Linked DNA regions of Macaca mulatta. The protein of the gene in region 3 binds, or shares a complex with, the protein of the main gene of each other region. Links are inferred from orthologs where the notes say so. Each region holds a gene or a part of one and is shown on either strand. Other genes may lie near its edges. The genes, in order: BMPR2, ACVRL1 and BMP10.

The links.
Region 1: the proteins of BMP10 (region 3) and BMPR2 are in contact, whole or in part, in a crystal structure (PDB 7PPA), measured with the Homo sapiens proteins. The link is inferred for Macaca mulatta from reciprocal best matches to the Homo sapiens genes BMP10 and BMPR2. Residues at the interface, in NP_055297.1 of Homo sapiens: Tyr329, Lys333, Asp338, Ser339, Trp340, Ile342, Ala343, Pro344, Pro345, Gly346, Tyr347, Glu348, Glu395, Pro396, Ile397, Ser398, Ile399, Leu400, Leu402, Val407, Tyr409, Phe411, Ala417; in NP_001195.2 of Homo sapiens: Asp38, Ser64, Tyr67, Leu69, Lys81, Cys84, Trp85, Ser86, Ile88, Gly89, Asp90, Pro91, Gln92, Glu93, Thr103, Thr104, Pro105, Pro106, Ile108, Tyr113, Phe115.
Region 2: the proteins of BMP10 (region 3) and ACVRL1 are in contact, whole or in part, in a crystal structure (PDB 6SF1), measured with the Homo sapiens proteins. The link is inferred for Macaca mulatta from reciprocal best matches to the Homo sapiens genes BMP10 and ACVRL1. Residues at the interface, in NP_055297.1 of Homo sapiens: Tyr322, Asn357, Tyr358, Pro359, Ala361, Glu362, His363, Pro366, Thr367, Lys368, Ile371, Leu375, Leu378, Lys379, Ser381, Lys386; in NP_000011.2 of Homo sapiens: His40, Val54, Val56, Arg57, Glu58, Glu59, His66, Gly70, Asn71, Leu72, His73, Glu75, Leu76, Phe84, Val85, His87.

The regions. Positions count from the first base shown.
Region 1 is NC_133417.1:107,760,047-107,763,701, forward strand, and holds part of BMPR2 (bone morphogenetic protein receptor type-2 precursor), read left to right. Parts: intron 1-334; coding exon 335-507; intron 508-2,899; coding exon 2,900-3,655. UniProt on the Homo sapiens protein: On ligand binding, forms a receptor complex consisting of two type II and two type I transmembrane serine/threonine kinases.
Region 2 is NC_133416.1:59,096,345-59,099,999, forward strand, and holds part of ACVRL1 (activin receptor type-1-like), read left to right. Parts: coding exon 1-177; intron 178-379; coding exon 380-479; intron 480-841; coding exon 842-988; intron 989-1,594; coding exon 1,595-1,870; intron 1,871-2,426; coding exon 2,427-2,624; coding exon of another isoform or gene 2,625-2,646; intron 2,647-3,655. UniProt on the Homo sapiens protein: Type I receptor for TGF-beta family ligands BMP9/GDF2 and BMP10 and important regulator of normal blood vessel development. On ligand binding, forms a receptor complex consisting of two type II and two type I transmembrane serine/threonine kinases.
Region 3 is NC_133418.1:55,899,713-55,902,331, forward strand, and holds part of BMP10 (bone morphogenetic protein 10), read left to right. Parts: intron 1-1,904; coding exon 1,905-2,619. UniProt on the Homo sapiens protein: Required for maintaining the proliferative activity of embryonic cardiomyocytes by preventing premature activation of the negative cell cycle regulator CDKN1C/p57KIP and maintaining the required expression levels of cardiogenic factors such as MEF2C and NKX2-5.

The DNA.
Region 1 (3,655 bases), on a different chromosome or scaffold from region 3:
CAGAGTTAGTGACTGTTGATTGACATAATATAACTGTGAATTAACAACAATGACCTAAACCTGTGGCCTTGAAGAAACATCTGCGACTTATTGTTGCTTTTACCTTAATGAATAATTCTTCAGGGAGTTGAGGTAAATCCTTTTTGTTTACTTGTTCATCACCTTTTGAGAATGTTCCTTTATAAATCCTTGAAGCCTAAAATACGTTATTTTAGCTATGTAAAATATACTGGTTAAGGTAATTGATTTTTCTTTTACCTCATGTTGTGAACTGAAAAGTTCAGTATATTTTTTTTTTAAAGATACACGGTTTGACATGTACTTTGTCTTACAGGCAGTGAGGTCACTCAAGGAGACAATCGAAGACTGTTGGGACCAGGATGCAGAGGCTCGGCTTACTGCACAGTGTGCTGAGGAAAGGATGGCTGAACTTATGATGATTTGGGAAAGAAACAAATCTGTGAGCCCAACAGTCAATCCAATGACTACTGCTATGCAGAATGAACGGTAAGACCCTAAGGGGTGTGGCACCTGTCAATCAGTATTAGAAACTGAGACCCAATAAATAACAGAAAATAAATACCTTTAAACCAGCCTAATGGTTCAATGATTATCTCATACAGTCTAAAGTTATCATTTTTCTTTCAATATTCCTATTCTTCTATTGAACATTTTTGTTTGGTACGAGTGCGAGATGAAATCTGCATTTTTTTTATATGTAAAGGTATAGTGAAAGAAGTTAGTCTTTCTCTATTTATGGTCCAACTTTCCTGCAATAATAAAGGTAAAATGTTTCCATAACTCCAAAAGTTCATAAGCACTTCTATGTAAATTGTCTCATTTATCCTTTGTTGTTACTATTCCTTCTTCCTCTGCTTTTTTTTTTAAGTAAATGGAACTATGAACTTGCCTATCTAACCACTGTTTCACTGACACTAAGGTTTCTAGACTTCCTATCTAATGCTCTTTCTTATAGAGTATACTACTACTACTTTTACATGAAAGCAATTCAAAGGTCTTTCTAGTCCATCATTAATACTACTTTACAAGACTTTTTCTTTGCTAGAACTGTGATTTTTGGTTCTAAATAAAAAGGCTTTTTAAAAATTCCTACAATTTGGAACTTTCTACGTCTGTATTTCTTTGTTCCATATTTGGGGTAAAAAAGCCTTTGTATGACTCTGTCATTTTGTCTAATACATGTTTAAAACTTTCAGAAAGGCATCCAGGAAAGGGTTATTGGAGAAGATTGAAATAAAAATAAACTCGATTCTTGAAACTTTTTTTTTTTTCCTGTGTGGTTTTTTGGGGTTTTTTTTGTTTGTTTGTTTGTTTTGTTGTTGTTGTTTGTTTGTTTGTTTTTTGGAAACTGAGTCTTACTCTGTCTCCCAGGCTGGAGTGCAGTGGCATGATCCTGGCTCACTGCAACCTCTGCCTCCTGGGTTCAAGCGATTCTCCTGCCTCAGCCTCCCGAGTAGCTGAGATTACAGGCATGAGCCACCATCCCCAGCTAATTTTGTATATTTATTAGAGACAGGGTTTCACCACGTTAGCCAGGCTGGTCTCAAACTCCCGACCTCTGGTGATCCACCTGCCTTGGCCTCCCAAAGTACTGGAGATTATAGGCGATAGGTGTGAGCCACCGCGCCCAGCCTATTTTCTGTTGTTCTAATTTGTGAAAGCCATTTATATTAGCCATAGGTCAAAAATTTGGTTTGCACTACTTTTATATAGGTTAAATTAGTGTCGGTTATAAACTCTTACACCTTATATATCAGCAAATCAAGAAAGTTAGACACTGGCTATTCTAATTATAAATTTTTTCACTTTACACATACCTGAGGACTGTCTTCTGCTTTCATCTCCCCTCATCTCTGTATTTCAAAACCATGTCCTCTAGTATGATGTTTATACCTCTCTCAAAAGTCAGCTAAAGCTTTTATTTTGAATGCTTTCAAACTTTTCTTGAATGGTAAGAAAAAAAACCCTTGATGGCCCACCTTGATTTGGCCATTTTTTGCCTCCTGTGTCATTCGGCTCAACCTTCTGCATGCATCTTCTCATCTCCAGTCTCTACTAATAATTTCCCCAAAATTATCATTCATCCCATAGTTACTCTAAGTTTTATTTTACTGAATCTTACCCTCCATGTCTTTTCTTGTACTGTATAACAACTTTTTCTTCTTTTCCTCCTGTCATCTCCCTTATAAATAACGGACATTCCCAAGGAATGACAATGACAGCAAAGAACCCATGATAATTGGAGAGCAATTCTGAATCTTTGATCCTTTATTTGAACATCATATTCTGCCTTATACCTTAGGCTCAAGGACTTTTACTGATATGACTCAGACTATCCCAGAAAGATATGCGCCATTACTAGGGTGTGCTTCTTATTGGAGGCCTTTGGAACAACCTAAAAGCTTATATTCTTTTTACCATTTGGCCATTGGAACTTAATTGATAACATAACTTTTGAGTAGGCACCATGCATCTAGAATTATGGAAGTACAGAAAACATATACCATGGTTCTTCCTCTCATAAAACATAATGTCTAGTTATATGAATATACATTTCATAAATATATATTTAATGATGTTACACAACTATAGGGGAGATTTTTAAATTAACTCTTATAAACCAAAATAATAAACATTTATAAAAATTATATCTGATCCACATACATTTTTCAGTAGGCTTAATTCATGTATAACTAACACTTATCAAGTTATTAATTGACACTTGATTATTTGATTAGACTTTTTAACCTTTAGAAAAATATGTGTTTGGAAGAAAATGAAAAACGACTCAGACTTTAAAATCAGAGGTGTCAAACTTGGAGAGACAATTTATCATAAATGTACATTCTCAATGTGATACTTTTTTTCTTTCTTTAAGCAACCTGTCACATAATAGGCGTGTGCCAAAAATTGGTCCTTATCCAGATTATTCTTCCTCCTCATACATTGAAGACTCTATCCATCATACCGACAGCATCGTGAAGAATATTTCCTCTGAGCATTCTATGTCCAGCACACCTTTGACTATAGGGGAAAAAAACCGAAATTCGATTAACTATGAACGACAGCAAGCACAAGCTCGAATACCCAGCCCTGAAACAAGTGTCACCAGCCTCTCCACCAACACAACAACCACAAACACCACAGGCCTCACACCAAGTACTGGCATGACTACTATATCTGAGATGCCATACCCAGATGAAACAAATCTGCATGCCACAAATGTTGCACAGTCAATTGGGCCAACCCCTGTCTGCCTACAGCTGACAGAAGAAGACTTGGAGACCAACAAGCTAGACCCAAAAGAAGTTGATAAGAACCTCAAGGAAAGCTCTGATGAGAATCTCATGGAGCACTCTCTTAAACAGTTCAGTGGGCCAGACCCACTGAGCAGTACTAGTTCTAGCTTGCTTTACCCACTCATAAAACTTGCAGTAGAAGCAACTGGACAGCAGGACTTCACACAGGCTGCAAATGGCCAAGCATGTTTAATTCCTGATGTTCTGCCTACTCAGATCTATCCTCTCCCCAAGCAACAGAACCTTCCCAAGAGACCTACTAGTTTGCCTTTGAACACCAAAAATTCAACAAAGGAGCCCCGGCTAAAATTTGGCAGCAAGCACAAATCAAACTT
Region 2 (3,655 bases), on a different chromosome or scaffold from region 3:
AGCCAGCTGGCCCTGATCCTGGGCCCCGTGCTGGCCTTGCTGGCCCTGGTGGCCCTGGGTGTCGTGGGCCTGTGGCATGTCCGACGGAGGCAGGAGAAGCAGCGGGGCCTGCACAGCGAGCTGGGAGAGTCCAGTCTCATCCTGAAAGCATCTGAGCAGGGCGACAGCATGTTGGGGGTATGGGCCTGGGGACCTGGGACACAGGGTGGAGTGGGGCAGATAGCAACTGCGGAATCAGAGGGGTCATCCAGAGAGTAGAGCCGGTGGGGAGCTGGGCGAGTGAGGAGCTTGCAGTGACCCAGCAGGTCCCAGGTTGAGGATGGAGAATGGGGCTGCGGCTGGTTAGGGCAGCTTTTGAGTGGACTCTCCATACCCCCAGGACCTCCTGGACAGTGACTGCACCACAGGGAGTGGCTCGGGGCTCCCCTTCCTGGTGCAGAGGACAGTGGCACGGCAGGTTGCCTTGGTGGAGTGTGTGGGTGAGCAGTGGGTGAGCCCGGTGGATGAGGACCAAGGGCTCTCATGAGCCTTGAGGGGTGAGGGAGTTCTTGGCTTCCGGAATCACAGGCAGTGCCAGGCCTGGGTCAGAACTGGAATTCTGCTGGGCAGGGAGTGGGCTGGAGACGGGCCAGGGCTAGGTTCTTTCTGCAGGACCGGGGTGGAACGAGAGGCAGCTGGGGGTGGCCTGCCGCTGGGTTTGGGTCTGGATTAACTTAAACCTAAGGGTCAGGGGTTCTGTGGGTGGGGTGGGCGAGGGAGGCAGCACAGCATCAAGATAAGGGGCTCCTCCAGGGCTCTGTGTGCCCAGTGTGTAACCCTCACCTTCCCCTCTGGCCATCAGGAAAAGGCCGCTATGGCGAAGTGTGGCGGGGCTTGTGGCACGGTGAGAGTGTGGCCGTCAAGATCTTCTCCTCGAGGGACGAACAGTCCTGGTTCCGGGAGACTGAGATCTACAACACAGTGTTGCTCAGACACGACAACATCCTAGGCAAGGGGAGGGGCCGGCTGTGCCAGGCCTGGGGCTTTGCCCTCCTGCACTCAGGGCTCGAATTCACAGACCTCCAGACATTAACAGAACCCTGAAGGACTCCCAGCCCACCTGCAACACCAACCTCTTTTTTTTTTTTTTTTTTTTTTGAGACAGGGCCTCGCTCTGTCACCCAGGCTGGGATGCAGTTGTGCAATCTCACTGGAACCTCAATCTCTTGAGCTCAAGCGATCCTCCCACTTCAGCCTCTTGAGTAGCTGGGACCACAGGCATGTGCCACCATGCCCAGCTAACTTTTTTATTTTTTGTAGAGACGAGGTCTCCCTATGTTGCCCAGACTGGTCTCAAATTCCTGGGCTCAAGCGATCCTCCTGCCTTGGCCTCCCAAAGTGTTGGGATTACAGGTGCAAGCCACTAAGCCAGGCCCAGACCCAACCTCTGACTCCAGCTCTGTCTCTGACCTAAGCCACATCAACCCCCACCCCAGACCTTGCTTAGCAGTGACCCAGCCCATTCCCTCTCCCCCGACCCCACCCTGACCCTGACCACTCCAGCCTCCCTTAGCCCCAGCCCCTTGGCTGAGTCACCCGACCCTTCTGTGCACAGGCTTCATCGCCTCAGACATGACCTCCCGCAACTCGAGCACGCAGCTGTGGCTCATCACGCATTACCACGAGCACGGCTCCCTCTACGACTTTCTGCAGAGACAGACGCTGGAGCCGCATTTGGCTCTGAGGCTAGCTGTGTCCGCAGCCTGTGGCCTGGCACACCTGCACGTGGAGATCTTCGGTACACAGGGCAAACCGGCCATTGCCCACCGTGACTTCAAGAGCCGCAACGTGCTGGTCAAGAGCAACCTGCAGTGTTGCATTGCTGACCTGGGTGAGCTGGGCAGGGCAGGGGCAGACCCTTCACAGGTGGGCACAGCTCGTGCTCTCTCCTCTCCTTTGCCTATGGGCGGTGACCATGATGGGCGCTTGAAAACAGAGGTGCATGTTGTCTCAGTTCTCCTCTGCAAGACCGCATGAGTTGTCTGAACACCCTTTTCAAACCAGACTCCTTCCACCATACCATCCTGGCTCCAGGAGTTGGGAGAAAGGAGGCAGGAGCCAGAAACCTGGATTCTCATTCCTGGCTTCGCTAACTATATCCCTCCCCGGCACCAGCCTCCGGCTCTGCTCCATGAAGTGGGCATCATAATGCCTGCCTTGCCCACTCACATCTCGCTGGGTTCTTGAGAACCTAAAGAGCACTACATAAGCAAAGAGTACCTGGGGCGGTGGTTCTCTCTGTGGTCACTGTCTTCCAGCCCATCTCCATGCAGGTCTCCATCTGCCTCCCCCTCTCTGTCCCACTGCTTCTCTCAGTCCCCACCTTGCCTGCCCCCTGGACCCCAGGTCAGGGAGAGGGACAGGAGTGACAGGCCTCACCCCCACAGGCCTGGCTGTGATGCACTCACAGGGCAGCGATTACCTGGACATCGGCAACAACCCGAGAGTAGGCACCAAGAGGTACATGGCACCCGAGGTGCTGGATGAGCAGATCCGCACGGACTGCTTTGAGTCCTATAAGTGGACTGACATCTGGGCCTTTGGCCTGGTGCTGTGGGAGATCGCCCGCCGGACCATCGTGAACGGTGAGTGTCCACCCTACACAGGGTAGGGAAAGGGCAATTGGCCCGTGGAGCCAGGGGCTTCCTGCCATGGCCAGTGCCCATGGCCTGGGAGGTTTGCAGCCAGACCTCCTGGCACCCTTTCCATGCAGCCCACCAGCTGATTCAGCTGAGTGACCTTTTAAGGTATAAACCTTAAAAACAGATAACGGGGTCTGTGAGTCTGGCTGTGAAATCTTGTACGTGATAATAACAGAAATATTAATAGCAGCTAACATTGATTGAGCTTAAATATGTGCCAGATGCCATGCTATATACTTTACATGTATTATCTTATTTGATTCTTTGATATGGGCAAGGCAGTGGTATTGCTTAGTGGCTAAGACCATAGGCTTGGAATCAGACTTCCTGGGTTCTATTGCTGATTTTGCCATGACCATGGGTAGGTTATTTGGCCTCTCTGTGCCTCAGTTTCCTCATTTGTAAAATGGGGGCGGTGGCTTATGCCTGTAATCCCAGCACTTTGGGAGGCCGAGGCGGGCAGATCACCTGAGGTCAGGAATTCGAGACCAGCCTGGCCAACATGGCGAAACCCTGTCTCTACTAAAAATACAAAAATTAGCCAGCTCTGGTGGCACACGCCTGTAATCCCAGCTACTCGGGAGGCTGAGGCAGGAGAATTGCTTGAACCTGGGAGGCAGAGGTTGCAGTGAGCCGAGATCGCACCACTGCACTCCAGTCTGGGTGACAGAGTGAGACCCTCTCTCAAAAAAAAAAAATTAATAAATAAAGAAAGAAAGAATAAAAATAGCTTCCAGTTGTTGAGATAATCTAAGTATTTAGAACAATATCTAGAGCTAAATATTAGTGGCCGTTATTGCTGTAGATAGAATGAGTGCCTGACCTCATATTGTCCCCATTGTACAGTTGAGGAGATGGGGGCACAGAATGACAGCGGGCTTGAGGCAGCATCAGGGTCTGAAACCGGCCAGTCTGCTCCAGGGCCAGTGCTCATCATCACTGTGTGCACTTAAACCTCTCTGGCCTTTGATTTC
Region 3 (2,619 bases):
AATCTAGTTGGGAAAATTCATTCATAAAAAGATGGCTGAAATATAAGGATGTAAATGACAAAGATCAAAGGAGATGTAAAGTGCTCAAGTGATTTCAGAGGGGAGGGGAGGGAACTTTCAGATAAAGAAGTAAGGGAGCCTTTTACAGGAGATGTCAGAGCTGGATAGGTGGAGGTGAGGTGAAAGGGCTTTCCAAGGGTCAGAAGAACAAGTGAAAACGTGAAAATTACGGGGAAAAAAGAGTGTTTTGACAGGTGGTAAAGATATCAATGTAGTTGAGACAGAAGGGTTTACAAATCCATTCAATTGTTCACAAATATTACTGAGTAATCACAGTGTTCCGTGCACTGTGGAGGATGTAAGGAAGTTATGTCTGATCAGGAGGCTAAGACCCATGTATAGCTGATCTTGAAAGCCATTCCAGGGAGTTTAAATTCATTCTGTAGGTAAGTATTTCCCATTGGCAGTGTGTGAGATGATTTTAAGTGGTTCCCATAGAAAGCTATGAATCATGTGAAATAATTGTATATTTTTATTAATATGGATTTTTAGCAAACATAAATAAATATCACCTCAAATCTCTCCTTTCATGAATGATGTTGCTTAGGAACATCATTGTAAAGTCTAAAATAGATAATAAGTGTAAAATAATTAGATCAAGTTAAAAAAATATTAAAAGATTATAATCTGGAACAGGGACTCACTGAGATCATGAATTAAGTATATACTTGGAGAAATGTTGCCAATGATGAGGGAGAACCCCCAATTGGTGGTCCTTAGCATCTTCAGTGCCATGGAGCCCTTTGATAATCTGATGGCAAATGCCTTCAGGGCTTCCTTGTAGACTCATTACCTGAGGCAAGTGTACAGGAGCTTTGGGCTAACTGTAAAATATTCAGATAGGAAGTCAACATGATAGTATTTGGAGGTGTCCTTTTACGACTAAAGGACTTTTACAGAGTTGATTCATAAACATTATTGAATGAGTTATATGTGCCATGCTCCATGCTAGGTGCTAGGGGTACAAGACTAAGGCAACCAATCTAGTCCCAGGATTCACTTTCTCCCATTACTCTTTATAGAGGACCATATAACCAAAATTCAATTGCTGTGACCCTCTTGGTTTATGGCTGTCTTATTGACCTTGTCAGGCTTTGTTGCCTAGAACAGAAGTCAGCAAGTTTCTTCTGTAAAGGTCCAGACAGATAATAACGATTTTAAGCTTTGCAGGCTGTATGTTCTCTGTCGTGTCTATTTAACTCTGCCATTATAGTGCAAAAGCAGCCACAGACAATACAAAAACAGTGGATGAGGCTGTGTTCCAATAAAACTTTATTTCCCGAAGCAGGTAGCAGGCCCATTTTGGCCCATAGGCTATAATTTACCAACCTCTGATCTAAATGGAGGTCTTTTAGGAAGAACAGTGCCCAGCCAACTGTGTGGGGATCTCCACCCACTACAAACACAAATATTAAAAAACCATGAAGTCCTCACCCTTGAAAAGCTTCAAGAAAAGAACAATCACATGTCCCATTTGATGGCTCTTTGTTGGTCAGGAAATTTAGGGACTTGCCCACGCAATCTCCAAGTTCTCTCCCAGTTCTGTAATTCTGTGTCTGATGAGCTATTCAAGCAAGGCTGACTGAGTTTTACCCCATCCATTAGACCCCCATTTTCCATTTTAGTCTTGGCAACTGAACTCTTTTGGGCATTCTACCACTGACCTTTCGGGATTTCTTGTGTCACACAGAATGCTGACATTGTGTTTGTCCTCATTGATCTTCTCCCTTCATTCTTTCTGCATTAAGCTTTATGCATGGGAAGGCCTTCTTATTACATAAATAAGCATCTGTTTTTCCCTGAGACCCTCTGCAAACCTGATTTTTGCAAATTTCTTTTTTCAGATCTGTTTTCCCAGCCAGTCAGTTTTAACGGACTCCGAAAATACCCCCTCCTCTTCAATGTGTCCATTCCTCACCATGAAGAGGTCATCATGGCTGAACTTAGGCTGTACACACTGGTGCAAAGGGATCGTATGATATACGATGGAGTAGACCGGAAAATTACCATTTTTGAAGTGCTGGAGAGCAAAGGGGATAATGAGGGAGAAAGAAACATGCTGGTCTTGGTGTCAGGGGAGATCTATGGAACCAACAGTGAGTGGGAGACTTTTGATGTCACAGATGCCATCAGACATTGGCAAAAGTCAGGCTCATCCACCCACCAGCTGGAGGTTCACATTGAGAGCAAACACGATGAAGCTGAGGATGCCAGCAGTGGACGATTGGAAATAGACACCAGTGCCCAGAATAAGCATAACCCTTTGCTCATAGTGTTTTCTGATGACCAAAGCAGTGACAAGGAGAGGAAGGAGGAACTAAATGAAATGATTTCCCATGAGCAACTTCCAGAGCTAGACAACTTGGGCCTGGATGGCTTTTCCGGTGGACCTGGGGAAGAGGCTTTGTTGCAGATGAGATCAAACATCATCTACGACTCCACTGCCCGAATCAGAAGGAACGCCAAAGGAAACTACTGTAAGAGGACCCCGCTCTACATCGACTTCAAGGAGATTGGGTGGGACTCCTGGATCATCGCTCCGCCTGGATACGAAGCCTA